Lonchura striata: one gene and its partners. The protein of the gene in region 3 purifies or fractionates together with the protein of the main gene of each other region. This does not show direct contact. Links are inferred from orthologs where the notes say so. Each region holds a gene or a part of one and is shown on either strand. Other genes may lie near its edges.

What was found.
Region 1: the proteins of LARP7 (region 3) and KPNA2 purify together in Homo sapiens (affinity purification with mass spectrometry; 3 studies listed by BioGRID and IntAct, with this or other methods). This does not show direct contact. The link is inferred for Lonchura striata from reciprocal best matches to the Homo sapiens genes LARP7 and KPNA2.
Region 2: the proteins of LARP7 (region 3) and KPNA3 purify together in Homo sapiens (affinity purification with mass spectrometry; 3 studies listed by BioGRID and IntAct, with this or other methods). This does not show direct contact. The link is inferred for Lonchura striata from reciprocal best matches to the Homo sapiens genes LARP7 and KPNA3.
Region 4: the proteins of LARP7 (region 3) and HP1BP3 purify together in Homo sapiens (affinity purification with mass spectrometry; 3 studies listed by BioGRID and IntAct, with this or other methods). This does not show direct contact. The link is inferred for Lonchura striata from reciprocal best matches to the Homo sapiens genes LARP7 and HP1BP3.

What each region holds. Positions count from the first base shown.
Region 1 is NC_134621.1:8,515,721-8,522,926, reverse strand, and holds the start of KPNA2 (importin subunit alpha-1), read left to right. Parts: upstream 1-4,189; 5' UTR 4,190-4,237; intron 4,238-4,912; 5' UTR 4,913-4,954; coding exon 4,955-5,029; intron 5,030-5,126; coding exon 5,127-5,264; intron 5,265-6,120; coding exon 6,121-6,209; intron 6,210-7,006; coding exon 7,007-7,206. Other genes in the region: C19H17orf58 (UPF0450 protein C17orf58 homolog), read right to left, coding at 362-479, 2,691-2,914, 3,740-4,064.
Region 2 is NC_134604.1:62,575,617-62,583,374, reverse strand, and holds the start of KPNA3 (importin subunit alpha-4), read left to right. Parts: upstream 1-4,741; 5' UTR 4,742-4,848; coding exon 4,849-4,926; intron 4,927-7,758. UniProt on the Homo sapiens protein: Functions in nuclear protein import as an adapter protein for nuclear receptor KPNB1. Binds specifically and directly to substrates containing either a simple or bipartite NLS motif.
Region 3 is NC_134606.1:71,927,902-71,935,267, reverse strand, and holds the start of LARP7 (la-related protein 7), read left to right. Parts: upstream 1-4,364; 5' UTR 4,365-4,566; intron 4,567-7,105; exon of another isoform or gene 7,106-7,233; intron 7,234-7,366. Other genes in the region: 5'-3' DNA helicase ZGRF1, read right to left, coding at 1-1,849, 2,206-2,391, 2,834-2,890, 2,995-3,075, 3,193-3,213. UniProt on the Homo sapiens protein: RNA-binding protein that specifically binds distinct small nuclear RNA (snRNAs) and regulates their processing and function.
Region 4 is NC_134626.1:6,311,961-6,319,869, forward strand, and holds the start of HP1BP3 (heterochromatin protein 1-binding protein 3), read left to right. Parts: upstream 1-4,895; 5' UTR 4,896-4,958; intron 4,959-7,909. UniProt on the Homo sapiens protein: Component of heterochromatin that maintains heterochromatin integrity during G1/S progression and regulates the duration of G1 phase to critically influence cell proliferative capacity.

The DNA of each region.
Region 1 (7,206 bases), on a different chromosome or scaffold from region 3:
CACATCTGGAGTTACAGGTGGTGGGGACTAAAAGAGAAAGGTCACATACAAATTATAAAAATCCCAGATGCAGAAGCAAATCCAACTTCACCTGCCACTGGTGGCTGGCAGGACAGAGCACCAGCTCCCTGCCTGCTTCTGCCAGGCGCTCTTAATTCTTCCCAATGCTGGCAAATTAAATATTGCAATCTACATTCCCATTGCACAAACATGTTGAAATGTTTCTTTCTTGAGCCCTTACCTGCTGAAAAGGCTGCAGGCTGGGGGGCTGCCCAAGCAAGGGTTTGTAGGAAAGTCCTTAGCCTCCCCTGCTTCCCGAGGCAGAGCTGCCCCAGCCCCGCTCCGAAGGTAACAGACTTACCAGAAGATGATCTAATGACAAAGCAGAGGAGCCAGAACACTTGGGTTGTCATTTTGAAGAAAAGTTTTTCCAGACTCAAAATGAGCTGGAGTCTTTTATGCCCTTCCCCCGATCCATGCTAATGAGAGGCAGCCTGAGGGGAAACGGGAATCACTCGCTGGACAACCCACTGGAGCAAGACCAAGCTGCTGCCTCCACCAGCCCTGCCTGGGAGGAATGTGCTCCTTCCCATCGGGAACAAGCCCCTGGCTGCACCACCTGAGTCCTGGGAATACACACCCACACGTGGTTCTGGCAGCAGATTTTTATTTTGGGGAGTCTTGCCCTCCTGTGGCATTCTGTAGGGAAAAATCATCGGGAACAAGGCTGGTTTTGCTGCCTGTGGAGAGCTGTGTTCTGGGGGGGAACCGGGAGCTGCTGGAATACACCAGACCCGGGGACACGGGGGCTGTAAAGGATATGCATGACAATGGAACATATCTGGGGATTTCTGGTCACCTCCAGTGATACAACTGCTAATCTCCTCTTTTAGTTTCAGGAACCAGTTTCAGTGATTCTTTTCAGGCTGAAAAATGCAGTTGTGACTGTCTAGTCCAAGGGAAAGCTCTGCTGATCCCACACAGCTTTATTTTTAAATCTCTCTTTGCCATCGTGAAGAACTCTGCAAATTTTCACACACCAAGCCAACCCTGATTTGGATTACTGAATTAAGAAGGCTTATTTCTAAGTGACCTTATTGCAACACAAGATTCCTATTGTGACAGTTTAACTCACCGGCTGCTGCTGGGTGCTGTGGAAGCTGTTCATGATTTTAAGGGACAACCAACAATTTAAAACTACATAAAGGCACTGAAAGGCTCCTGAAACCCACCCTTGACAGAAAATCTAACCCTCAGCCATGCCTGTGGCATGGGATTCAGTGTTGCTTAGTTCAAGCAGTTTGTTTTGTCCTGCCTTAATTAAATATTTCAATAGGATTTCCAGAAGCTCAGGGCTTTGTCTCCAGCAGCCATGGGCAAAGATACAGAAAATTCACCAGAATAGTGTGGAAAATAAAAGACATTTCACCACATCTATTACTCAACGAGTTACGTTTCTACTGCAACACTCACTTACTCCCTGTTTCCCTCTGTTATTTGAAACATTTTAATTCCAGAACTATCCCAAGATAGCTATTACGGGAATAGGAATGTAAATTGAGGATGAAGGAGAGGAGGGCTCCTCCATTGCTTTGGTGAGCAGCAGGTACCTGCAGCAAGCAGAAGCTGGAGTGTGAGTGCTGGCACTGGGGAGGGAGGAGGATGGATGGATGGATGGATGGATGGATGGATGGATGGATGGATGGATGGATGGATATACACACACGTGAGCATGCCACAGACCTGTATTCCAAGGATTTTTCTGTTGAATTAGCTGGTGGTGCAATTCAACCCTCATTCATTACGGCTGTGTCTGCACTCTTTCCCCAGACTTTACTTGGACAGGATCTCCATTAAGAGCACAGCAGTGGTGTTTGGAGCACTCCCGGCATTCCAGCAGCCCCGGGGTGCTCGAGCAGCGGAGATGGAAAAGCTTTCCCAGCAGCGCTGGGCAAAACCGGGACCAAAGCCACATCCCTGCCCGGTGCCCCGCGGCTGCTGCTCTCTGGAGGGAGCGGGACCCAGGGATGCCCGCAGGAAGCGCAGCTGCCCCCGCGGGTCGCGGAGCGCGGCAGAGCGGGCCCGGGGCAGCCGCGGTAAAAGAGTCGGGGGTCCCGGGCGGGGGTGGGCGCACGGAGCGACCCGCGGCAGCGGCACAAAACGAGCGCGGCACGACCCAGATGGGACTCGAACCCACAATCCCCAGCTCCGGAGGCTGATGCCTTATCCATTAGGCCACTGGGTCACCCAGCACACACCGCGCGCGCCGCCCGGTAAGAGCCCCGCCCGGCCGGCCCCGGCCCCGCCCCCTGCGGGTGTCACGTGTTCCCCGCTCGCGGCGGGCCGGCCCCACCCCCCGCACGCCATTGGTCGCGGCGCCCTCAGGCCCCGCCCCGCGGCGCGTGCCCGCGGCCCCGCCCGCGCCTCAGAACGGGTTCCCGCCCTCGGCGCGAGCGCGTCCCCGCCTGAGGGGACCCGCCCGGGGCCGCCCCGCTGGCCCGGGACCCCCGCCCACCGCTGCCCGCGGGCCCGTGTCTTTCAGCTTCCCCTCGCGGGCCCGGTCCTGGCTCCTGTGCTGCTGCCGGTAACTCTACCCAGTCCCAGCGGCTCCACACTCGGCCTTCTCAGGGAACACCTCCCCCTCAGGGCTCTGTGACCCCTCACGGCCCTTTTGCCCGCCTTGCACACACCTTCTGCAGCCCCACAACCTCACCCGCAGCTTGGCCGCTGTTGTGCCCCAGTTGCCCAGTCTCCCCCGACGTCTCTGTCGCCCCCTCGCAGCCCACACCCCCTCGGGCATCTCGGGCACTGCCAGCCCTCTCCGTGCCCTCAACACCGATCGCTGTGCCCAGATTTAACTGCTCCAGATCATACACTGCCAGCGATGGAATTTCTTCACGCCAACCTTCCAATCCTTCAGGAAAGCAGGTGTTTTACCTCTATTTCTGCTTTTGAACTGCCTTTTTTCTTTGTTTAATATCTCCATTTGTTAGCAACGTGCCTTCTCTTGGCTTACCTGCTCTTGTTTTTGTAGGTGTTTTTTACAAAGCTCAGCACCGTAAGGCCTAAAACCAGCTATATGAGATGTCACTGGTAATTCCTCCTCAGCAAACATCCTCCATACCTAATGTGTGCCTAGAGATTGGTATAAGTGGTTTAATGTGATGGCTTAGCACACAGGCATATCGATGTACATGCCTGAAACTTCTCTGTGTTGTACCTTACAGGTGTCTCAAAGTGTCAGAGTTGTGTTTTCCCTACAGTTCTTTGGTTTGAAGATCTCCTGTGAAAATCAGTGTTCTTTTGTGTTCCATCCCTCATGAGCAGGCCAAACCCATTGGAATCAATCTCATCCCTTTTCAGGCCATACCACAGGGGCAGGAATCCTTTGCTTTTGTTATTCTGTGTGATTAGGTTTCCATCTGCCCTGATGGCTGTAGAACTGCTTTCAGCTGCAATCTCATATCCCCTTTTCTTTGCATTTCTGTGCACCACATTTCTTGGAGACAATAAGTGACACATGGAGCCATGGAATCACTGAATGGTTTGGGTTGGAAGGGACACCCTCCATTACCCCAAGTTGCTTGGAGCCCCATTCAACCTGGCCTTGGACACTTCCAGGGATGGGGCAGCCATAGCTTCTCTGGGAACCTGAGAAGGGCTTCACCACCCTTACAGGGAAGGATTTTTTCCCAATATCCCATCTAAACCCACTCTCGTTGCGTTTGAAACCATCCACCTCCTCGTCCTGTCACTACCCGCCCTTGTCCCGGGGAAGCCCGCGTTGCCGCGCTGGTTTCTGAGGCAGACTCAGGCTCTGCGTGAGGGAATTTCTGCCCCACCCGCTCAGAGCGCGGCCCCTGCACGACACAATTAACCCCTCGCTCCGATCCCCGCTCCCGTCCCGGGCTATCACCGAGCCCGGCCCCGTGCACTACAGCTCCCGGCGTGCCCCGCGCCGCCCCACAGGGGCTTGCTGGCACTGCCTGCGCGGGGCACGCCGGGGGCTGTAGTACCGGGCTTTGTGAAGACGTCACGTCCGACCGGCTCTTCCGGGAGGGCATTCCCCGTCATGGCGAGCCGGGCTGCTTTCAAACCGGCCAATCAGAAGGCTGCTTTGGCTCGAACTGGCCAATGGCAGGGCGCGGCCGCGGGAAATTTAAATGCCGCGTGGGGCGGCCGTGGGCAGTGGCAGCGTGCGGCAGCAGCGGAGCGACTGGCGGCGTCTCCGGCCGAGGTGTGGGGACCGGGTCTGGGGCGGCGGGGATGCGGGCCCTGCGCTGCCCTTTTGGAAAGAGCCGTGCTATGCCTACAATTCTGCCGGGGCCTCTCTCCGGAGCCTCCCGCGTCTCGCTGTCTGCACTGGGGCTGATAGGGCTGGTGTATCCCAGCGCGGGTTGTCTCTCCGGTGGGGCTATGGCCGAAGGGAAGCCAAGACGGTTCTTATGCTGGCAGTGGCTGAGCCGTAAGGGTTTTCTTCGTTACTCGTGTAGCCGTTGTTATGTGCGGCCGGCTGCGCCCGCACGGCAAACGCCCCCCGGCCTTCTTCCCATTCCCAAAAAGGTCGGGGTGGGGCTAGGTGGGTTCCTGTGCAGCACAGGTGCGTGATAGTGAAAATAGTATTTAACAGCGTGTGTATGTTGTCTGTAGAAATGAAAATCTATGCTGCTTCTGAAAATAATAACTAGCAGTATTTGGTTTAAAGTGTCTCAAAATCGTGTGACTGTGTCTTCTGCTTTTGTGTTGATGCTAGAGTTCGTTATAACATATGGCTGTTTAATGAGACAGCTGTTGAACAAGTCAGATGTTTTTATAGTATTAATGCTAACAAGTGCCTATCATTCTTGAGTATGGGTCCAATTTTTTAAAATTTAACTTTTGTGGAGTAAATTTTCCTTTGCTCTGTTTTCAGGCTTGTTTTTATCTGTCCTGCTCAAAAAATCTAACAAGCAAGATGTCTACTAATGAGAATGCCAATACACCCTCAGCTCGATTAAACAGATTCAAGAACAAAGGAAAGGACAGCACAGTGAGTACTCTGGTGCAATTAGTACTTTAGCCAGCCATTTTCTCTTTAAATCTAAGTTTTGAAAGCCCAGAACTTATTCTGAGTGTGTATCCTCCAGGAGATGAGAAGGCGGCGCATTGAAGTCAATGTGGAGCTGAGGAAAGCTAAAAAAGATGACCAGATGCTTAAAAGAAGAAATGTGAGCACTTTACCAGATGATGCTACTTCTCCCCTTCAGGAAAACAGAGGCAACCAGGTAAGTGGATACTTGGAATAGACACACTTGGAGGGTCTTACTGTCTGAGATGCTGCAGCCAGGCCAACATGGATCTATTCTCGAGTGCAGGACAGCACTACTGCATCTGCATTAGTAACTCAGGCCTGTGTTATCACCTCTAATGGACAGCACTCTTACACACAACTGGGGATGCCTTAAGTTTTAGCTTTCATATTTTTCAGATTCTATGCTGCTTTAGTGTGTAACTGAGCTTCATATTAAGTGTTAGCAAGTTCTCTTCACAGAGTAGGTAGACAAAACAATCCCTTTCCAGCTTGTCCAAGGACAAGTGTTACAACCTCCAGGCCCAAAAAGTATAAACAACAGTGAATTGAAGAAAGAAAAATAAACAGGATGGAGCTTTGTAACCTAAAGTTATAACTGGACAATTAATTCCAATATGCAAATGGACTAAAACATATAAAAGTGTCAAACCTCATGACCATAGTCCGTTTTGTGACCATTTTGGTTCATCTTTCGTGTAGCCCTGGCCAGGCTCTTGTACTGCCCAAGTTGTATCCATTAAGGCCTTCAATCAATACCTGCTTTATTCTTTAACTCTGTTTAGCCTCTGTTCTAAGTCAGACTTCTCAAGGCATCACTGGCTGCAGCTACATTTTAAACCTAGCATAACTGGTATGAATCACTTGGTTAAAAAAAGCTTTCAGCAGTTCAGATAACTGTAGGTGAAGCTGTAGCTGATGAGGTTTTGAAATACCTCATTGTGGAAGTGGCTGTAAATTGGGGCCTGTTCATGGTACTGTGTAAGAGCTCTCTGGTCAGGAATACACATGACTGTCCCAGTGAAGCACTCATGTAACATTTTCTTGTACAGGTTTTGGCACATTGGTCAGTTGAAGAAATAGTCAAAGGAGTTAATAGTAATAATATGGAGCTTCAGCTACAGGCTACTCAAGCTGCCAGGTAAGCAGTTCAGAGGAAACCAACTCAGCTGTGCAAGCCAATAACTAGGCAAGGTGAGAGGATTGACTTATGAGCCTAAATGGCTGCTTATGGCTTTCTTATCAGGCAGTATTTCAACAAACACCATCTTATATACCATGTTGAGATACCCATAACTTAGGCATGGTTTTATTGAAATCATGTGGCTTTTGAATATTTAAAGTGCCTGAATATTTTAGTAGGAAGAAGTAATTTGCTTTAGTGGTGGCAAATTTAACAGTAGTCACCTTTGATTTGAAGAAGTAATTATAGTTAACACTTTATTATAGCAAAGTAAGGTACCTTTTAAACTGTGTTAACACTTTGGTATGTATGAGTGTGGCAATTCACTTTAGAATAATGTGAACAGTAGGATGAGTGGGTTTTGAAGTTTTCCAAGTTTGTTTCTCTTTTCAAATCTAAAATATCCTTTAATAAGCTTGCATATTGCTCAAGTGCTTCTTCTGGCAGTCACTAACCTCTCTCTGCTGAGAAGCCTCTAGCAGCTCAGATGTGTAATGACTCCTGCAGGTCTGCTTTGCTTCAGAGTCTGAACAGAACCTCTCATATAGTGAAGACATGCCAAATTAGCATTAACAGAGGCCTGGCTAGGGAGCTAGTGTTCATCTTGTATGCATTTCTCTTTCATGCTGTTGTGTTGCCTTCTATGAATGTTAAGACAATGCTAAACTCTTTTCATATGGTGCTTTTAAAACTTTAATTTGTTGTTCAGATGTCTGCAGGCAAAATTAATGCTTCCTGTTTGCCTTCCTCCATAGGAAACTCCTCTCAAGAGAGAAGCAACCCCCAATAGACAACATAATTCGGGCTGGTTTGATTCCAAAGTTTGTCTCGTTCCTGGGCAGAGCAGACTGCAGTCCCATCCAGTTTGAATCTGCCTGGGCCCTCACCAACATCGCCTCTGGCACGTCAGAGCAAACCAGGGCAGTGGTGGATGGAGGGGCAATTCCAGCCTTCA
Region 2 (7,758 bases), on a different chromosome or scaffold from region 3:
CGGATAGTCAGAAGTGGGAGTCTGACATCCAGATAGTTGAAGGTTCCCCCCAGATTGCTGAACTTGCAGCAGTCGTGAGAGCGTTCAAAAAATTTCAACAACCACTTAATTTGGTAACAGATTCAGCATATGTAGCTGGGATAGTAGAAAGGGCGGAACATGCCCTACTCAAAGATATCTCAAATAAGAAATTATTCCACTTGCTCTTGGATTTAATTTGGCTAATCTCCCACCGAGAGCAACTGTATCATGTAATGCACGTCAGAGCCCACACAGACCTGCCAGGGCCTGTCGCCGAGGGTAACCGGAGAGCGGACCAACTTGCCATGCCCCTTACTTTGACTGCACCGGCACTTTCCACAAACTTACCTGACACTTTTGCTCAAGCGAGGCTCAGCCACGCGTTTTTCCATCAGAACGCGCCGGCCCTCGCTCGCCAATTTAAAATATCACATGCACAGGCAAGGTCAATTGTCACCACATGCTCCAGTTGCCAGACATTTGCCCTGCCATCGATGGCAACGGGGGTCAATCCCCGAGGACTCGGGGCTCTGGAACTGTGGCAAACGGATATCACTCATTACAGCCCTTTTGGCAGGCTGAAATATATTCACGTGTCAGTAGACACCTTCTCAGGTGCTGTTTTTGCTTCTCTCCATACGGGAGAGAAGACCAAAGATTCAATCAAACATCTATATATGGCATTCGCGACTCTAGGGGTCCCAAAAGCTATTAAGACAGATAATGGGCCTGGGTTCACATCTGCCCGTTTTGAACAATTCCTACAACAATGGGGGATTGCCCATACTACCGGCATTCCTCACAATCCCACGGGCCAAGCTATTATCGAGAGGACTCACAAAAATATAAAACAGTTGCTAGAACAGCAACAAGACTCAGCACTCGCAATGACCCCAATAGAGAGGGTCTGTAAAGCACTTTATGTTTTAAACTTCCTAAATTGCTCAGAAAAAGAACCAAATCCACCAGTCCTCCGACATTTCTATAATAACACAAGAGCCCAGCTGAAAGAACGCCCACCGGTACTCGTGAGAGATCCGGAGTCCAAGCAGGTGAGCGGCCCATACCCGCTCATCACTTGGGGGCGAGGGTATGCTTGTATTTCCACAGGACAGGGCCCGAAATGGATTCCAGCGAGATGTGTAAAACCATTCCTAGAAAGCTCCAACGATCTGGACCCCACACCAATGCACACTTCAACAGCACCCACTCCGGTGCCGCCAGACACCGCGGCCGCTTGGAAGAGGAGGAAACGAAAGACGACAAAACAGTACCCTAACATCGTTTGCAGAACACTCATCACCCGGCTTTATGCACCACCTTCAGCTGACGACCTCCCTAACACCCCGTCTCCCTCTATCCCTTTTCCTCTTCCCTCTTACCTCACCCGTCGCTCCTACCCCACTTAAATATCTAATTTTTTACTTAAAAATGAAAAGGGGGAGTTAGGGGAGTTGGGGAAGAATACCATATTTTTCCTGAATATTTTCTCTTTGCACTTTAGTTCACTAGAGATGGCTGCCTAAAAGACATCCACCAACGACCTACGAGAGTGGACGCCCCGACGTATCCGGCTGGCCGCAAGCCTCACGCTCCTTACCATCATGTGGCTGCAGGCGGCGGACGGCTGGATTGTGCCACAGCCGAAGGAGAACGTCTGGGTAACGCTGGCAAAGTCCCTCCAGCAAGAGAACTTTTGCTTGGCCATGGGCAATGTGGACAACCCGTTGTCCACATGCCTGGTGGGGGTCCCTCTGGTAGCCGATGATTGGCCGGTTTCCAACTCTGACCTGCTCCGAACCACGGGCAGGAGACCTAACCCGGTCGACACTTGGGACGCGTGGACGAAAATACTACCAAATTCGAAAGAGGAGCCCCAAGAATTGGATCTGTTAGGGTCCTCTCCTGCCACCTATTGTGTAAAGTTTTATTTTAAGAGGCCAAGTCAGAATTGGCATGGAATTGACTTGGCCAAAAACACATATAGAAAAGACGTTACACCATTGAACAAAAAATATAATTCGGCTACTTGGTGTAACTACACAAGTCCAATTATTTCTGTCTCCTCCAGTCGTCCCAAGTCGTTACCCCGGGGGATGTTTCTTGTCTGTGGGGACAGAGTATGGTCAGGCATCCCATCTCGGCTCCAGGGAGGACCATGTAGCCTTGGCAAGCTTACTACCCTCACTCCAAACAAAACCCAAATTATGGATTGGAAGAAAGAGAGACAATTGGCCAGACAAAAAAGATCCTATGACCAATTCGACCAAAATTGCGATGACAAAATTTATAATTGGGGAAAAACAAAGAGGGTTGCCGCTTCCATCTTTCTCCCATGGTATGCGGTCGCTAAAGCCCTCGGTGAGCTTTCTCACCTGGAGTGCTGGATAGCAAAGCATGCCAACGCATCGTCCGCCGCCCTCTCCGACCTCTTGGCGGACGAACAGACCACCAGGCAGGCCACCCTCCAAAATCGGGCGGCGATAGACTTTTTGCTGTTAGCCCATGGCCACAGCTGCGAGGACTTTGAAGGACTGTGCTGCTTCAACCTAACATCGAGAAGCAAATCCATCCAAGCCAGCATCCAGCGTATCCAGACACAAGTCCAACATCTACAAACTGAAACCTCGGCTGTGGACCCTGCCACCAAGTTGCTTTCTCAATGGGGCGTCCCGGGATGGGCAGCCTCTATCCTCCGAGGACTTTTATGGATTTTAGTTATTGTCCTTATCATTTTAGTTGCCCTAGCAATTTTTAAGAGGATGTTAATTAAGACCTTAGGGAATGTTTATTTAATTAATAAAGAAGGGGGAGATGTGGTAGGGGACTTGGGGAAAGCCCCCCCGAATATGCCTTGGGAGGAGGCTGTTGTGTAGATCCCCGCCTCCGAGCTGCCCATCAAACCTACCACTCCCCTCTTGTTATGTAACCTTCAGTTATGCCCACCTTTATGTCAATCACTTTTGTACTTACCCTTTATTCTGGAATGTTCTTAAGTTCTTTGTCTACAATTGGTTCTTCCCCTGTTACCACCCCCTTCCCTTATTCCCATTTGTTGCATCCCCATTATCTCATCCCAACTCCTCCTCCTAGCCCTATTCCTATTGGATCCTTTGTACCATGTCCCTCCTACTTGCTCCCTAACATAATCTCTACCCCGCCCCCTGTTCGAGGCTCTCGGAGCCAGCTCCCTTTCTGTGAGGCTGTCTACCTGTACCCCTTCGCTCAGTCCCTGACACTTAGCCCTCAGAGATTAAAGCTGCTTCGAAGCCAACCCGCCTTCGGCTGGAGATTTCTTTATTCCATCGTCCCTGCTCCCCGGGATCTCCACCACTGGAGAGCCGCCCGACAGGGGACCCCAGGGACAGGCTACCATCAATCTGGAGGTGCTGGGTCTGTCTGCAGTCTGTCCAAATGCTCCCAGAGGGAGTCGTGCTGCAATAATTTTGACAGGTTGGGGACAATTTGTTGGGCTGGCAGAGCCCCTTTGTATTCTGCATTGAAGCTGGTATGTAGCTCCAGCTACCACATAGAAGTGTGGCATGAAGGGTACGTTGGCAAAGTGCTGGATTTGTTTTTCCCAGGCAGGGCTTGCTTTCATGGCAGACTCACCAATGGGGACTCAAAGCTTCCAAAACACCTGGATTTCTTAGATGCTTGCTGTGCAGCATTTCCCAGGCTGCATGCAGCAATGTTACTGCAGTCATGAGGAGCAGAGGGAGGTGCAGAGCAGACCCACAACACAGCCTTGGCTGGCAGAGCTGCCTGAGGCCACTTTGTGCATGAGCCTTGCCAGTGGGGTCACTCCAGGGTGCATTGTGGGGAAAATCCCACAGCTAACAAGACCAGTGGGATCCTGCAATGCATTAGGAAGAGCATTGCCAGCAGGACAAAGGAGGTGATCCTGCCCTTCTACTCAGCCCTGCTGAGGCACCTGCTGGGGTGCTGTGTCCAGTTCTGGGCTCCTCAGCACAAGAGACACACGGAGCTCCTGGAGCAGGTCCAGTGAAGAGCTACAGAGATTAATAAGGGATTGGAGCATCTCTTTTGTGTTGAAAGGCTGAGGGAGCTGGCCCTGTTCAGCCTTGAGAAGAGATGACTGAGACATCTCATCAGTGTCTATGAGTGAGTGAAGAGAGGGTGCCAAGAGCATGGATCTGCTTGGTGGTGCTGAGCAATAGGACAAGAGGCAATGGGCAGAAACTGATGCACAGGAAGCTCCACCTGAACATGACAAAAAACTTCTTTACTGTGTGAGTGACCATACATTGGAACATTTACCTGGAGAGAAGACTGTGGAGTCTCCTTTACTGGAGATATCAAGAACCATTTGGACACGATCCTGCGCCATGCGCTGTCAGCTCGCCCTGCTTGAGCAGGGAGATCGGACCAGATATCCCACTGTAGTGCCTTCCAACCTGACCTGTTCTGCGATTCTGTGTGCACAGTATCGTTAGGCCCTCGGCTCTCCCGCCGGCGTCGAGCTGGAGCCCCGCGGCCGGTCCGCCGCTCCACGTGCGGAGCCGCAGCCTGCTGGCACTACCCGCCCCAGAATGCCGCGCGGGGCGGGGGCGGGACCAGAGCCGCGCCGCCGCGCCGCGATTGGACAGCGTCCGCCCGCCCTTCGCGTCACGTGCGCTCGCACCGCCCGTTCCCCGCCCCCCCGCCCCTCTCCCAGTCACTCAGCAACGGCGCGCGCGCGCCAGCGGCCCCCCCCCTCCCCGCCCGTTTCCCCCTTGGCGCTCGTCACGGAGCGCGTCCCGCTTCCCTCCGCCCCTCGCGCGAGCCGCCGCCGGGAGCCGCCGGAGCCGCCTCGCAGGAGCCGCCATGGCCGAGAACGCCGCCGCCACCGGCCTGGAGAGCCACCGCATCAAGAGCTTCAAGAACAAGGGCCGCGACGCGGAGGTGCGTGTGGGGCCGGCGGGGCCCCGGCCGGGCCCGGCCTCCGCCAGCGGCCGGCGGAGGAGGGGCCGGGCCGGGCTGGGCCGCGCTCGCGGCGGGAGGAGGCGGCGGGGGGAACGCCTGGGGGGGTTTTTCTTCGCCGTCATGCGGGCGGGCGCGGCCGGCGGGGGGCGGAGGCGGCGGCGGGGGAAGGGTTGGCGCGGCCGGGCCGCCCGCGGGCCCCGGGCAGGGCCGGCGGGATGCGGCGCCGTCTCTTCCCGCCGCGCTCCCCGCTCCACGCCGCTGGCCTCCGCGTCTCGCCGCCTTCCCCCGCCCGGCGCTCGGATGGGGCCCCGGACAATGGTGCCGGCCGCCTTTTGTGCCGCCCCCCCGGGGCGGTGGCGGCCCTTCCGCCGGAGCTCGGGGCTGCCCTGCCCTCGGCCCGCGGTGCCGCTGCCGCGCACGGAGGCCCCTGCCGTGCCGGGGACCGCTCCCACGCTCTGGTGAGCCTGATTGCGGTGTGCTGCGCTGGCCCGTTTTGTTTCTTGTATCAACCCCTTTCTTCTTTTCAGTTTTTATACTTTATTTTCAAATGCTGGTAGGCACGTCAGTAATGGTTTCCTGGGCATCTGCGTCTAAATGGGGAAGGAGTGCGGTACTCGGTAAGACTAATGGGGTAGTAGCTTACTCCCCCGAATTTGAGAGTTTCAGGGTTATTGGGAGCTTAGTCCCCAGAGATGTTCCAGAGGTCTTCGAATCTGCGTGTCATTATCGGACACATCTTCATTTCTACTCGCAACTGAAAGAGGAAATCCCAAATCTCGTATTTAAGTTTCTGTAATAGGAAAGGAAGGGGGAGGGAGCTCTGAAATCAGGCTAGAATTGAAATCGGCTTAGGATTCGCTGGAGTGAAAACCTAAATATGTGTCGGATTACTTTGACTTCACCTGAGAGTGTTTTCCATGGTTCTGTTGATTTTATCACTTTACTCCGTAATCAGTAGACTGGAATTTTAGTGCTCTGAAAGCACATTCTGTATTTTGGCAGAATTCACAGTTCTGCTGCTATTGTTTGGGTGGAGACAATTTTATGCAGGTCAGGCTTAGCAGCAGCAATGTCTTTAAGATGACATTCGCAGTGTAAAGCAATCTTTAATTTTTATTTAAGACTGCATCAGCGAGTCTTTCTTACAGAAAACCTTGCATGTAAGGAGTATGATAACTTCCAACACTTCTGGCTAACATTAGTAAACGTTAGAAAGTAACTAAAAATGGCCCATCCTTCTGTTTAGCAGTAGCTTCTCAGGGTAAGGAGGGGGCGTGGTGCATTTCTTTTTCCTCTTCTCATCCAGTGAGGCCCTTCCTGCTGCTCCTCATTCATTTTGTCCTTGTCTCATCCCTCCGTATTGGTTACTGGCTTTGTTGCTGCTTTCTCAGTAACTGGCCTGAATCCATCAGAGCTCTAAACAGGGAAAGGTTAGGTATGTTCATGCCTAGTGTGAGCTGATCTGTCATCCACGCTTGCTTATATTATAGCACGCTCAAGATGAGGGGAATTAAATATCTGCCTCCATGGGGAGGAAGGAGAGAATGGACTGCCTAAGCTTTGCTGAGATTACTTCTGCCAGACCAGCTAAGGTAGCTTAGCTCTCATTTCCCCCTGAAGAGGAGTTATTATTTTGGAGTAGTGTATTTGCTGTTATGGAGAAGTATATCCCAGCCTTCCAGTGTACTGACTGATTTCCTTTCTGTGGCTGAGCCTAAGACTGGTGCAGAGCTCCAATAATGGTAATGTAGTTAAAGCTGTCATATCTGCTTTTGAAAAGGGTTAAAACCTAGGTAACATACTTCGTTTGCACTAACAAGTAGATAAAATGCAGAGGTGTTTTAAAGTTGTATACCCATGGAGATATGCTAAAATGAAATTTAGTTTCATGTAAAGGACTGTTAAAGATTGGAAATGTTTCAGTGTCTTTCAAAACAGTTTAATTTGTGTTAAATGTCTGATATTTTCTACTAAACATCCTTTTTGACTCTTTTCTGATTTGGGTATTTAAAAGTTCATGTTAGAAGTACCCTTCTGGAGTAAACTTTATCTAACTTAAGCCTCTAAAAGTAAAACAATGTAAGTTAAGATTAGAGTGGAGAACGAATGAGCACAGCAGAGCTATATAATTGCCATTAGGTACTGTGCCTCTCTTGAGGAACTGGTACACAGACTGGCCTGCTGATTGCGCAGATTGTCTCTATGTAGTCAAAGTTACTGGCTCTTCACAAAGTATTTGTTTTCTAAATCGAATATACCTGATTCTCAACTGTCAGCAATTAAATACACTTGGTTTGCTCCCTGTACTGCGATAAAGAGTTTGACATAGAGATCCTGCCTCCACTTTTCTCTACTCATCTTTGGACATCAGGAGGCAACAGTGCTTTCATTGGCATTGATCTACATCTTCTTATTTTGTCAAGTTCCACCAGAGAGAAATGAAGTATTTAGAATGATGACATGATAAATCATGATCTGATATCTAGATTATATCCTTTGGAAAATTTAAAATACTCAAAGCTGTACTGTCTCAGCTTCAGTTTGAAAACAGTTGCACTTGAGTCACCTTCTGCCTGGAGACAGTCATTGCCTTTGAACACATCAAGCTTGAACACATTCTTTAGTAATCTTCCTTTGACTGCTATTAAATACTTAAGAGTTGCTATTGATCCCCTCCGGGAACAGACTCTTCTGGCAGACCAAAATACTTACTCCTTTAATTTGTACTTAACCTGTATTTTATTACTGGGTTTGCTGGGACATATAATTGTCTTTGCTTTTTCTTAATGCAACTTTAAGGGAAACAAAAGA
Region 3 (7,366 bases):
CTTGGCAAGCTTCAGGAGAAGCAGTTATGCTCTCTGCATTTTCCAACACAGTTCCTCCTACTGCTGTTTCCTCTGGAGATGAAAAACCTGTTCCTAAAGGATCTGATTTCTGTGACAAAGCCAGCAGAGGGCTGTCTGGCTTCATGTCATCACTCTTAGAAGCCCAGAAGTGCTCTGGGCCAATATCTGGGGATTCCATGCATCCAAGCTTTGTAACTCCTTCCTTGGTCTTTTTGTCCAAGGCAGAAATTATTCTGCTGGGAGAAACAGCTGAAAGACTTCCAGTGGCCTCAAACAGCCTGGTTTCAGGGTGACATTCATGAGCACTGGTGTGACCAGGCAAGAGATCAGAGTGATGGTTTTTTACCCAGCATGTGCCATTAATGGTGAGTGCTGCACAGCCATCCTGATCCTCCTCTTTGTTTGTGCCTTCAAAACTTGATTGACTCTCACTGATCTCTTTTATGTTATGTCCATCACCTACAAGTTCCACTTTGGTTCTGGTCTGGTTTGCAGCATCTTCTGCAGTTCTCCTGGCATCACTGTCACAAAGCTGGGGTGGTGTACTCCCCTCTCCATCAGATTTTGAACATTTCACTTCATTTTTGCTGTGTGTCTCTGCTTCACAGCAAGAATGAGGCTTCAAATGAGGGCTCAAGGCAGCACCTTGTGCTACATCTTCTCCCTGAAAGCTACCTGGGCTCCATGAAGGCATGTCTCCCTCAGAGAATTCTTTCCCTTCTCTCTCACACACCTCTTCATTGTCTATGTCATTAAAATCAAAAGTCTCCATTAGGTTAAAGTTAACCTCCATCAGTTCCCCATCAGGACTACATCCTGTGCCCTGCAAACTGAACTCCTCCTTCACAATTCCAGCTTCAGTCAATGTCACATCCCAAGAGAGCTCTGGGTCACTAGACACTCCCTCTGAATTTTGTCTTGGATGAAGCTCACTCTGCATCTTCACAGAGAAATCCTCCCTAAGACTGTCAGTCCCTGAATGCTCTCTGTATGCAAAAGGATTGTTTTCAAAGGTAGTTGGACTTGCTGAAGGTGAAATGTCACCTGAGGATGGGCCACACTGACTGTCACTCATTCTACTTACAGTGGACTCAGGTAGAAAGTAAGTATTTGTGTTGCAGTGATCTTGTAAATCTTGACTTAAATTATTTACCTTTTTGTCTTGTCTCTGTCCTGTGACTTCTTCACCACGAGATTGTTCAGCTGAATTTGGAAGTGTTTGAGCATTCCAGTCCTTTGTATAATTTACAGTTCCCTGCACAAAAGGCAGGTGCTGAGTATCTGGAACGAGTCCTTTGGCAGGTTCGCCTGAAAAACCAGGTAGGACAGGGCATTTTTTGTCACATAAACCTGCATTTTCTGCTGCCTGAAACCTGGAAAGGCAGCCTGTGACTCCAGATGTTTGCTCTCTGTGTCCTTGTGCTGGTTTAGACTTCAGAAGAGCAATTATCTGTGCTGTGCTCCTGATGTGGTGGGACACTGCCCCGGGACCTGTGTGCCCAGTGAGGAGAGGCGATTCCGGCTGCACAACCAACTGATGGGAGTTTTGCTTCTCTGTCCCCTCACAGCTGTCACTAAAGGGAGCTGAAAGCAGTGAGGACACAGACATTTGCTCTCTGCCACTGTCCCTACATCCCTCTTCCTGACTGCCTGCAGAGAGATTTGTTTCTGCATCCTTCTTGCGAATCGTAGAAAACAACGGAGAGCTGATATAAAACTTGGATGGAAAATTCCCTTGGCACTCCTTAGCTGAAGGCAACACTGTTGGTTTTCCTTCATCTTCCACAGCTGGTATTTTCTTCTCAACTTGGCGTGGTCCTTGGAACCCCTGGGAGAGAAATTTTCAATTAATCCACATTTTGTAATCACATGATGAAAACGGGGCACACTTCATGGACTACATTCTGATCAAATGGCCTGAAAATATATTCTGAACAAATTCACAGGTGCATAGAAACAACCTTGAGCCCTTGTGATTTTTACTCTAGGCAACACCAATCCTGCTAAACCAAATTTCCTAAATGTGGAAAAAACACAGTCTGGATTACAGGAAAAAAAAAAAAAAAAGAAGGCAGGAAGAAATGATGCATATATTTATATATTTACCATTCATGAAAATATGTTTTCCTTGTGTTTTACACTGCATGTAAACATGAGACATAAAAATTTAGAACAAAAACACACCGTAAACTTCCTTTTCAAGCCAACAGGGAGATGTCTTGGCGGTCGAAGACCAGGTTTTACACCATTTCTATCCACTGCTGGAATTTCTGCTTGCTTTGGCTGCCCTTCAGAAGGCTTTTCACTCCCTTTGACTGCTTCAACTGTGATTAAATATCGATCACTTTCGAAATCATCTCCAGGAGACACCTGGAAAAGAGAGAGAAGCAGTGTGTACATAACAGTACTGTATAAGAAACAATATCGTATAGCTTTATTAAAAAAAAAATACAGTATTTTAAGTACTTATATGTAAATAATTCAGGTACTTACACCTATTATACCACAGATGCCATATAATATTTTTATTTATACATATATTGTAAAAAGCATTAGCACTTAGATTCAATGATTATCTCATATATCACTGTAATACACTGTTTTACCACAGAAGAAGAAAAATTCCATGAAGCCTTCTGGACAAACAGTAAGATCTATTAATAAATAGTTCCCCTTCCATTATTTGCATTGTAGCAGAGTTTCATATCAACAAGAAGAAAAATGACTCTTTAGCTACCAAACGTGTTTGAAATGCTGCCTGAAAGACAAAGTACAATCAGATATAAAAATAACAACTCTGAACAAAAGATACCTGAGATCTTATAAAGATACTCTCTAGACATTGTCCTTTATCATCAAACAAGGTAGCCTGCAAAAAAAAAAAAAAAAAAATTTAAATAACCATTTATTTCACCAATCAGCTAGACTGCCACTGGCAGCAGTCGATGTAAAGTCTTAAATCTGAATGTTCACCTGATTTCTGCCAGTTCTAACCCTCAGAATTCCATCTTGCCATGTTTTTGATTTTTTCATCTTTTGGTGAGTGTATAACACCTGTTTTAAATATGTAAAATATTGAAAAAACAACAAGTAAGAAAATGTTCAAATAGTTCAGTAGCTACAGTCTCTAAACTTACACCTACTTAAAAGTGATTGGTAAAAATCACTCACCGTAAATTCTTGTGAGGCCATTGCTTTGGCAACACAGTCATCCAAAAGCTTATTTCACAAATATCCACATCTTCCCACAGCCTGAGAGACAGGGAAAGGGTCAGGATGCACAAGAGCTGTGAAGGAAAAGTGTGGACAAAAGATTACTTATTTTTTTCCCCCTCAAAAAAAAAAAAAAAAAAAAAAAAAAAAAAAAATTAGATGCAAAGTGGTATCAAATCAGTGTGGTAGAGCTGCTGCTGTGGGCATTTTAGAAAGAAACCTCAGAAACAATCTAACACACTGCTGGCAAAAAAAAAAAAATAAAAAAAATCTGTCTTTTTAATAGATGTCAAGCTATTTTCCAGCTTTTAGATGGATTAATTCATTTAAATGAATGGCTAGCAACCCTGAATACTCTTATTCAGAATTACTTGAATTAAAAAGCCAAAAGTTTACTTGCAGGGAAAAAAAAGCTGTTACCAGAATGATTTTGTCCCAGGTGTGGAGTTGGTCATGCATGTTTAGCTCATGCAAAAAATAACTGACTCCCCGTGAAGCCAAACCCCTTTGCATATTTGAAGTGAGACTGCAAAATACTTCAAAATAAATTTTTATATTTATTTTTAATCTATAAACATTTAAAATTAATAATTAAATATACTGCACGTGTATGAATAATTTTAATTTAATATATTTCACGTAAATGTATTATGTTTAATATTTATATATATATATCACGCTTTAGATTGGTGAGAAACAGCTTATATGACGGAAAGGGGAAAGATTCGCGCTGTTTCTTATAGCTGCCATCTGCTTGGGTGCTTCATAAGGTGAAGATCCTAGCACACGCTTTTGAGGACAGCGATATTCCTCAGGTTATTAGAGCAGCTGGCTCCGTGCGAGCCCTTAGGGAGCTCCCGAGCGAGCCAACGCCGCGGGCAATGGGACCCGCCGCCTCCACACAGCCCTTTGCCAGCGCCGCCTCCCAGGGGGCCGCCCCGAGCGGATCCCGCCGCACTCCCGAGGGCCGGGCGGCCGCCCCGCTCCTACCGAGGGCTCGGGCACCGGCGCCGGGCTGGAGGCGGGGGCGCCGCCGCCCGTCCGAACTTCCCGCCGCAGCGCCCGCCTGACGTCACGACGCCCGCGACGCCCCGCCAGGAGGAAGTCACGTGCGCCCAGAGCCCGGCGCGCCCCCGACGCCGCCGCGCACGCGCGGGCGCCGCCGCGGGGCTTTTTTTTTTTTTATTTATTTTATTTTTTTTTCCCCCCCCTCTTCTCTCTCCTTCTTCTTGGAAAGGCGGGGAGTGGGCACCGCGTCGCGCCGGGACCGGCGGGGACGGAGGCGGAGGCGGAGCCGAAGCGGTGTCGGCGCGGCGGCGGCGGCCGCAGCAGGTCAGCGGCCGGGGAGGGGGTGTGGGTTTGCCGGTGCAGCGGTGGCGGCGGCGCAGACAGGGGGCGCTGTCGCCCCCTCAGCGGCTTTCCCGCCGCCCGCGCGCGGAGTTCCCCCCCCACCGCCCCCGCTCGCTCCCCTCACGGCCGGGGCGGGGGGGTCCCGTCGGTCCCCTCAGGGCATCGGTCCCCTCAGGGCATCGGTTCCCTCAGGGCATCGCTGTGTAACCCTTGCCCGTCCTTTGCCCGCCCCCTGGGCATCCTCCTCGCCCGCTGCCCGCTCCTCCCCACGCCTGTGGCGCTTTCCTGAGGGCTCGTCGCTGCCCCGGGGCGCTGTGGTGGCTTTGCCCACAAGTGATGCGCAGGTGACTCTTGTGCGTCTTGGCGGCTGCTGTTGGGCCCAAGGGACTCGTGCTGAGGGGTCTTTGGACCCCTCAGGCTTAGTGTGGCTTGTTTTTTTAAGTGTTCTGTCGGTAAAATCTGTGAATCGCTTCAGCAGTAGCACCTGCAGTGGTCATTATCTGTGCAGTGGTAAGTGTGTGGCGCTCAGGCTTCTCAGGGTAAGTCAGGGCTAGAAAAATCTGTTTCACATTGTGGTCTGCCCCTTATTTGAAGAGTAAAGAAGGTGAGGTTTTTCCCATAGATTTTCAGTGGTTTTGGTCTAGTGCAGCAGCTACTAAGGCCAGAGAATGCTTGGTTTTTGTAACCATCCATTCTCCTTCCAAGTACATCTTGTTTCCCTCCAGCAGCTCTGCTGTTTGTTCAGTTCCTTAATCACTTAGTTGTCCCCACAGGGAAGAGCCAGAAATAAGTTCTCAGGTCTTAAAATTCAGTTGTGTTTCTTGAGGGTGAGATACTGTGAGGTGAAGGAGTTGTGCTGCCCTTTTGGTGTCATACAGGTGAACCCATCTAATTGGAGTCCGGTGCTGGCATATATTTTAATTATAACCACAGAATTGCTTGTGCTGGAAACGACCTCAGGTGGAGTCCAACCTTCTGACCGATCACCACCTTGTCACCCAGACCATGGCACTAAGTCCCACGTCCGGTCTTGAACACAAATAAATCCAATTTGCGCCTCCTGAGGTGACAGAGGGAAGGGCACAACTTACACACAGGTGTGGGAACAGCTTTAACACTCGTCGCAGTCCAGTGGAAGCGAAGCCTTCTATGTTTTTGGGCACACCGGTTTCATGAAGTCCACCAAATGCCTTAAAACTGCAGTTTAAGATAATGCATTGGTTTAATTGCATAAAATGGGAGAGGAAAAGCAGAAGTTCTTCTGGTTTTAGGTTAAGAAATTTGTGCTGGCCCCCGTGTATTATCTCCTGTCCTTTGTTACCTCATTTTACATGGAGAGATGTTTCAGGGCAGGGCAGGAACTTCAGCCTGCAGCTCTGCCTGTGTCTGTATTGGTGTAAAACTGTTCCAGGATATGTCTTTTTAAATAGTTTCAGGTTTGCTGAATACTTACATTTATTCTGCAGTACATACCTAGGGCTGCCCCTAACTCTACAAAAACATTTTCACTGTACATAATGTATTTTAAATTCTTCTTTTTTCTCCCTCATCCCTTATTGCCCCATTTTAATTTTTAGAATACCCCAAGCAAATAAACATTTGCATCCGTGTTTAAAAGAATAAAGTATATTTTATATCTGCACCCTGTTTCCTCTAGGCCTTGTATTACAGTTTAATTTTATTATGTTTTCCAGATGTTGATAATAATAGAAACTGGGGTTGTATATAGCTTAGCACTGAAATCTTTAATTTTTATCGAGCCTAGAGAAGTTTCTATAGATGAGTGTGGAGCTGTGTTATTTTTATTTATTTATTATATATTATCTTTGCTTTCCTAAAGTTCTTTCCCCCTGTTTAATTGTCCCTCCTTTTCTGGTTTCATTCTGGCACACAGAGGCACTGTGATTTTTTTTTTTTTTTTTGAGGAGACCTTTGCTTTATCAGTGTAAGTTTTGACTCTGCCTTTGCTTTGCTCTGATTTTAATTTGTTTATCAGAGTAGTGCTGGTAGTGTGAGAGTTGGCCTGTGAGGAATACAGTCTGCCTTACATCCGGGCACTTGGCGATTGCTGAATTCATTACTTGGGTTTTTATGGATATATTAATAGTTGATATTTGCTCTGACTCGGGAGGAGCTTGGAGTACGAAGTAGTTTCCTCAAAGCTTCATTTCTAAAGGACAAAGTGAGGGGAAAGGCTGGAGTGCAGCTTGCAGCTGCTTTTTTTCTAGCTGGAATGAAAACCTCTCTTCTGGGAAGGAAGTCCCGGAGCTGAGTGACTCCAAATGCTTCTCTAAACAAAGCTGTGCTGCCCCTGGGCCACACTAATGTGTCGGTGTGGTCCCTCCATGCTGCTCAGCCGCGACAGATAGCCCATAATGACATTTTACCTTCATGAAGCTCCTCAGTGCGGCCCTCAGCTGAGCAGCGCGTTGCCTGCTGGTTATTAATATAAAAAGCTTGCTGAAGAGCTTGAGCATAGCTTGAACTTGCTGAGCAGTTTTACCTGGCTTATCTCTTCAAGGTGACTGCTGACCTTTCACTATCTCGAGTCGTCAGCTCACAGCGGGGGAGAGGCTGATCTCCGGCTGAGGAAGCCTGATTTGCACAAGAATTTGGGGACGATTTCCATTTCGCCATCCTGTTGTCGAGGTGGGCTTCCTCTCTGATGGCTGTGCTCTCGTTTCACTCTCTGCTGCCTTGGCAGAGAGCTGAGAAGTCTTTCATATGGTGATTTCGACATTAATTACTTTAATTTTTGTGTTAATTTAATTTTCCAAAAGCT
Region 4 (7,909 bases), on a different chromosome or scaffold from region 3:
CTAAATCACAGTATCTGAGGAAACCTCAGATTGTCTACCCTTCTGATTTTCAAGGGGCTCCATTTGCCACCTTTGGTGAGGTTTTGTGGAGCTGTTGTTTGCTGAAATAACTCCTGCTTCTTTAAATGCTGCTGTAGGGATGCTGACTGTGGAAAGCTTTGTCATGTGGCACCAGCTTCTCTTTCTCGTTTCCAGCTGCTAAATTGTGCTGAAACAGCAACAGGAATAAAACCAGCTCCACTCCATTCAGTCCTTTCCATGGGGGAATTTGTGTCCAAGTTGCTGGCCCAGCTGCAGGAATGGATATGCTGTGGTTGCAAATGGGAAAGGAGAGTGGGCGTGAGGAAGGCAATAGATGCTGTTGGTTGGGAAATGTCAGTGTTACTGAGTGAGGGGAGAGAGCAGTGAAGCTCTTGGCTGTCCTGTTGCAGCCCCCTGCAAGAATTAATGGCAGATGTTACCATCCAAAACACTGTTTGGTTCAGAGTTAAGGAAATTCTCACTGCCAGGTCTCTTAACTGTGGGGAGATGTAGCTTTGGGAAAGCTGTCCCTGTGTGCAGTGTTGAGTTGGTGGTCTTCAGCTGCTCCTTGCTTAGTGAAGGTGTCACTTCATGTACCTGACTTGGGCAAAATCAGTCATTACTGTAATGCCAAAAGTGGTGTAGAAAAAGAATCACAGCTTCCAGCCCCTGGTCCTCTAGTAATGACAGCACTCAGGATCTATTTCAAATCAGGGTGTTTCTAGAAAAGCAGCAGCCTGTGGAGACTGCTCAGGCCATAACATTTTCCTGCTCCAAATTCCTGCTCCAAATTCCTGTCGGCTCCAGTGGTATTTCTATGCTACACTTGCTCCAGAATGAAACCAACTTTGGTGTATTTAAGTGTATTTTTATTCACTTGCTAGATCTGATGTAAAAAATGGGTTGTTTGGTTTGAAAATGCATAGAGGAATGGGATACCCCTTGGAAAGGGGAAAATGTTTGAAAAGATAAGGAAGTAGAACCTTAAGGGTAAGTGTGAGAGAGACAGCAAGGGAGACCAGCTGTGAGATGGTGTAGGGTGACACTGGGAAAAGTATGGAGAACTAATTACTAGGAAGCTGATAAGAAATAAAAAAATCAAGTGATATCTTGAAAGCCACGAAGAGACAGAGAATATGCATTTTGGGGTTGAAAGCAGAAAATTAGTTATTTTTGCATAGAATTAAAGAAGCTGCAGGGATGACAGTAAGACTGCAGCTGAAAAAAAGTAAAGATGAATTGGAAGAGAATTGTAAGTTGTTCTGGTGATCATTAGAGGTCTTTGGTGAAGTGAATCAGCAACAAAGTGGAAAATTCCAGTTTAAAGGACTAAAAGTCCCTATTTCTACAGGACATGTAAAAGGAAAAAAAAAAATCTTAATAAGTAAAGTAGAAGTAAGAACTCAAAAAGCAGCTCAGGTATAAAGACAGGAATTATGTGTGTGTCTGCAGGAAGGGCAACATCACCACGTAACAGGTCCTTGTGTAATGCTTATTTTGCCATGGGCAAAAAGCCTCTGGAAGTTTGTGTGTGGCTCAACAAGTGAGAGACCCACGTGAATTAAATGTTTGCTTCAGTGGTGGTTATGGGATTGTTGTGCTTTGCATCACTCCCTGTGCAGATACAAAGGGTCAAGCTGAAGAGAGCAGCGACCATCATCCCCTCATGGCTGGACACAGAACCAAAACAACCCCCTTGGATATATATTCAGGCATAGTGAGATCTGATGGTAAAGACCTTCTCAGGGAATACCAGATTGTGTGTATATATAATATTAGATTTGTTTTTCAAAGCACAAGAAGCTGAAGATGCAGCAGCAGAACATGGAGTTTTAGGGATGATTGAGTATAGTGACAGAGAAGAGCTTCCCAGTCTGGTGGTAACTAGACATGGGCGGGGCTGGAAAAAAGGCTCAAATTCTCCCTGAGCCAGGTGGACTGCAGGTCAGAAGGGCATAAAAGGCTTCCTAATATAAATGTAAAAGCTGAGGTAAAAGTGGAAAGGGAGAAAATCGACAAAAACTTGGGGTGACAACACCAGACGCAAGGCCTGAATGTATTCAGAGCTGAAGTTTGGAGCTGCAGGTCAACGTTGAAACATTGAGAATGTATCAGCAGAAGATTATTTCAGCAGTTGCACAGTTTGACGGAGGTAATAAAGGTAATAATCATGTGGCAGATAGATGTTAAGCCTCACAGAAGTGTGCTTATTAAATTCAAGTGTTCACTTTAAATAATAAACGTGGCAAAGTGGGGAAAATGTGAGTTGGTCTAGGTTAAAAAAAGTCAACAAAATAACCCTTGGAATGGAATTTCCATGGACAGATTTAAAACATAAAACTATCTAAATCAGAAACACAAGAGGTTCCATGTTTCTAGGACAAGAACAACAAGTGGTATTGCTCTGGATGCTGGGTGGAAACAGTAAAACCCTTGACTCCAAATTGTACAATGACTCCTTGGGAACAAAAGCAATGTATCTGGATGATCTGCAAGCAGCACAGCCCAAGCCCAAAGCTGTGGGGAGACTCAGGAGAGCTCTAAGGGACAGCAAGGTAGAATCAAATTAAATTCTTTTCAAGGAAAAAACAGCTGGAATCTTACTAGTCCATGGCACCTGCAGGCAGGAAAGGTATTGAGAGGGCTTAGGACTTATTAACAGTGCTTAGTACTTACTAAAAATGAGTCCTTATTAGAAATATTCCTGATGTTGATAGGGCTTGACACCATCACAAATAACTCTGGCAGCAGCTCCAAGCTGCAGTCTGATTCCCTGGCCATGGATTTCCCTGTTCCTCCTGTGCTGGCTCTGAGCTTCCCACTGCTTCATTCCTGTGGGAATAGGAAGAGGGACACAAATGACACAAACCTGCCCAAAAAGTGGAGCAGAGAAGACAGAGCAGTGGGTTGTGATCCCACAGTGTGGCTGTAAGGAATGTGAAGGGTCTGCTCTTCCCCTCTGGGATGGATTTTGAGGTAAAAACCAGAGAAGGAGATATCAACAGCTTTTCTCCTCCACTTGTAGCTCTGTGGCTCAGCCAACACAGGTGCTGGGGCACATCCTTGCAGTGGGCAAAGGGAGAGTTGCTGGTCTAATTTCATATTTTCCTTCTTGGTGTCTTAAAACTCAGTAGTGAAGGAGCACATTCCCTCTTCTCCCCCTCTGCTCCACCTTCTCCTGCCAGAGAGGCACCACAGGGGGGAAAAAAGCCAAAGAACACATTTTTCTGCAGTTGCACAGGGCTCGTTTCACACTCACAGGCAAGACAGGAATGTTCAGCAAAGTGGAGCCATCTGTCTGCACCGCTCCCAGGGCTGCTCAGCTCCACGTCAGTGATCATCTGGAGTGGAGGAGACTGAACAGGGCCAGGCTTTCCTCACAAGCCTTTAGAAGGTGGCATTCTCAGGTGTAGTAAACTTAGAGTAGTGACCTACAGGGGAAAGAGTTGGAAAAAGCTTGGACAAGAAACAGGCATTACTGCAGAAATAAGACATTTCTGTAGTGCTTTGAATGGTGTAAATGCTTCTAAATGTGCTCACAGAGGGGTTTCCCATCACAGCAGGGATAAAAATGCTCAAATAAATGGGTAAGTGCCCATATGGTCTTCAAATTGTAAAAACACAGATGGGAAGAGAGGTTGGCAGGAGACAGGTAATGATTATTTCAGAAAACAAAAATGAGAAAACTGCTCAGATGAGAGCAGATGAAATTGCTGTGGTGTACTAGGAGTCACCATCCCTGGAGCTGTCCAAAAAGTGTGGCTGTGGCACTTGAGAACGTGGTTTAGCAGTGACTTTTGCAGTGCCATGGGAAAGGCTGGACTCAATGATCTTAATGTTTTGTCCAATTTTAATGATTCTGTGATTCTAAGCATGCTTATGGCAGAAAATATGAAAAGGTAGGGAATTGAGGAATTCTACCTTAAACTTATTAAGTAGTCCGTTTGAAGGAAGGGGGGGAAAGAAAAAAACATCGAGGAGTCTAGCTAAATAAACTTGGAGCAAAAGTGTAGCAAGAGGTACACAAGAAAAGCTCGGGTTTTACCTCTCAGTGTACCTCCACAGCTGAGATTACTGTGACAGTGAAGATACAAGTGTGGGTCACACCTCAGCTCTGCTTTGCTATGATAATCCTCACCCTGAGCAGTGGAGGCACAGGTAAAAACTGCTTGAAAGAAGAGCAAAGTATCATCAGGAAAGGGATCCTTCCCACATGTGAGAACTTGTGAGCGTGTTGTGACAGAAAATTCCCAGCTTGCAGCCAGACCTTAGCACTGGGACTGGTGTAATTGCAGGAGGCAATAATTACACAGCTAATGAGGGATGGGGGTGAAGAGGCTGAGGCAAAGGGAGGGCGGTACTGGGGATACCGCAGAGGGTGAGAAGAGCTGGAGGTGACATACAGGCGGGAGTGCTCCGGACCGGGAATTCATGGGTACACACAGAATCACAGGATAGCTGGGGTTGGAAGGGACCTCTGGAGAAGATCCAGTTCAAGCCCGGGTCACCTGGAGCAGGTGATACAGGAACACGTACACTCGGTTCTGACAGGGCTGAGGAGTAGGCGGCGCAGTCGCAGCCCGGCGGGGCTGAGCTGAGGGCCCGGCGGGGCTGAGGCGGTGCCGGGGGCGCCTCCGGCCCCTCACGGACCCGCCGGGCGGGAATCGCCTCAGCGCCGTGGTGGCGGGAAGCGCGCGCAGCCCCGCTCCCCGCCCCCCGTTGCGCACGCGCAGTCTCGCGCGACGTGGAGGCGGTGGGGCCGGAGGGCGGGGGAGGCATTCGAAAAATGCCCGCGGCCTCCCATTGGCCGGCGGCGCCACCCGGCCACGCCCCCCCGCCTCGCGCCGCGGCTCCGCCCCTCCCCTCGGCCGCCCCCCCCCGGTCCCGCCGCCGCCGCCGCCATTGGAGGCGCCGCCGCTTTGTGTCCGCCGGGCCCGGTGAGTCCCGGCCCCGCCCGCCCCCGGCGCCGCGCCGGGCGGGACACGGGGCCGCGCCCGGGAGGCCGCGGGTGCTGCGCGCGAGGCGCGGGGGCGGCCTGACGGCGTCGCCGAAGGGGCGCCGGAACTGCCCTCAGCGCGTCCCCCCCCCGCCCTCCCTGCCCTGACAGGCCTGGGGGAGCGGGGCTGTCGTGACGGGGAGTCGCGACACGCTGCGTAGGCGCGGCTCGATGTCGCGGTGGGCTCGGTCTGGCACGGGCCCGAGGAGGCGGCCTCGGGTGGCGCCGGGCCCGGCGGGGCCTGGCGGGCTGCGGGCCCGCGGGCCTCACAAAGGAGCTGCGGGGCTCAAACACGCCTCAAGCACGCCTCTCCCGTCCCGCCGGCACAGGGCGAGCCCCGGGGAAGGTCAGCGGCGGAAGGGGCTGGCAGGGCCACGACACAATAAATAATGGCTATTTATAAACTTAGGGAGCGCCTTGGCTCCCGCCGCGGCCCTCCCGCCTTTGGCCGCTCGGCTGTGCGGTTGTTCGGGGTTTTGCCTGCACTAACTCGCTTCCTCAGCGCCCGGCAAGTGCCGCCGCTCGAGGGGAGCCTCAGCCTGGCTCGGTGTGTCTCCGCTTCCTAAAAGAGGTCGCTAATCGCCCTCGGCGCCGATAGCGATGGCTACAGACCTACGCGTGAGGCTCCCGGCACTTGCGAGTGCCTCCCTGCGCCCCGGTGCTCGCAGCCTGCTTAAGGAATGTTAATCGCCCTCCTCCCCATAGTGCTCAGGTTCTCTACGGAGAAAGCTGTTAAATTCCACTCTGCAGCGGGGCTGCTCCAGGCAGGCTTCCGTTCCTGTATCGCTATCCTTCTTGCCTCTCAAGGCTGTGGCGTGTTTTTGGGTAAAACATCGCATAGATTTAAGGAGTGAAGGAGCAGTTTCTGGGGTGGCTTTTGCCAGGTCAAGGGGGCCCCATCACCTTACCTGCTCCACCTGAGGACAGCTCCAGACTGGGAACACTTCAGAACAAATCCTTCTGTATTTTTACTCTTTTCCCACTAACCAATGTCTGCAAAACACTGGGGAACTGCGCAGCTTGTGCTACAGAAGAAAAGTTGGATTATGTGAGGTTGTGGGTGTGTTCTCTCCTTCATACAGTGTAGCAGGGAACGATCGCTTGGATAGTTTGTTTACAGATGTGGTATTTCTCGGATACTCGGGTATTTCTCACTTCTTAAGAGCCCTACTGAATTATTTCTGGGTTAGCGACCGTGTCACTTCCCCGTGCTTAACTAACTGTTAAGTGTTGCACTCTGATTTCCCAGCACGTGACTTTTGTTTGCTTTGACCATAAATAGTATTTTTAGCATCTTCAAGAAAGAGTTGGCCAGCAGTCTTTGGCAAGCAGCTCCCATTGAGGCGGGAGAGGTTCGGAAGTGCTTGTGTTTGTAAACAGCGTCCCTTCTCCATGAGAGCAGTGAGGGGAGAGGGAGGTGAGTTCAGTTCAGGAGGGGAGGTGTTTGATGGACTGGGCAGGAGAGCACAGACCTTCCTCAGGTGAGACTTCAAAAAATTGTTGGATAGAGTGGGAGATCTTTGGAAATCAGGAATGAGTAGAGGGGAAAAAAAACACATAATTCCTGTTGGGGGGAAGAACCTGGTATAAATACCTTGCAAAAAGGTGACTTTTTAAAGAATTCTCTTGTTTACCTGTGTGAGCTTTATAATTAATGTTCTTCTCAATTCATCATGCATGTTGGTCAGGCAGAAGGTCCTTGAATTGCTTTTTTGTCTTCAGAATATCTTTTCCTGTGGGTTTTTTTTTTTTTCCCTTTCAGCAGAAAGTGACATGTAAATCTTTTGGCAGCGTTTTGTTACAAGTGACCTGGGGTCCTCTGAGGATTTAAACTTCTGTGAGAGGGAATAAAAGTGTTACATTGATGAACTATAATGGGAAGTGTGGGTAGATTTCTTACAGACTGCAATGGAATAATGGCTTTTGTCATGTATAGTTTTGGCTGTAGAATAATAACTAATAGCTGAATAAGTAGTAGTTGGGAGGAGGGTTTATACTGTGGTTTTAAATTTATCTAGGCAAGGAGGAGATGGCCTATAAAGGGTTCAAACCCTGGTACGTAACACTTGCAGCCTAAATTTTCATTCAAGTGTCAGCAGTTTGTCAAAATTCATTAAGTTGGATCCTGAATTAAGATATTTTATCCAAGGCTATGAAAACTTTCAGCAGGGGATTTTTCATGTTGGAGTTGTTTTAACTTTGTGACCTGAGCTTGTTTTAAACTTAAAGCTGAACCCTGTGCATGCTAACAAGGGTGATTTCATCCCTCAGTGGCCATGAGGCATAGATAGAGTGTGTAGAATTTAGATCAAGGGCCATTCAAGCCAAAAACTGTTCAAAACTCCTAACTGTTCCTCAGAGCTTGTCACCATCATGATCCTGAGCATCAGTGTGGTGAAGGATTATTTTCAGACAGCCATACAGGCAGAAATTCTGCTTCATATTAGTCCCTTGGCTGAGGTTTCTGTGAGTTTTAGGTGTAATTTAAGTTGCTCACTGACTGTGGCTATTTGGGGACGTGAGGAAAAACCCCTGGGTGTAGGAATGGAAAATAATCCAAGCAACAGAAATGATCTGTTCTTACTGGCTTCTGTGCAGGTCAGAGATTGTTGGTGAGAGAATCAGAAACCTGTAGTGGTTTTCTGTTGAGCTGATGGTTTTTGTGTAGAGAACAGTGGAGGTAGGGCATGGGTGGTTACTTCATGGGAATTACATGGGGTTACTACATGGGGATTGGGCTGGCTTGGGGCTGCTGGTGTTGGACCCTAACAGAGACAAGGGCTGAGCTCAGCCCTGGGTCAGAGCATCAGTCTCACTCTAGTAATGTACCAATTTTTTTTTTTTTTTATCTTCAGTGAAAGGAGCATCTGTGTGCACAGAAGGGCAAGGTTT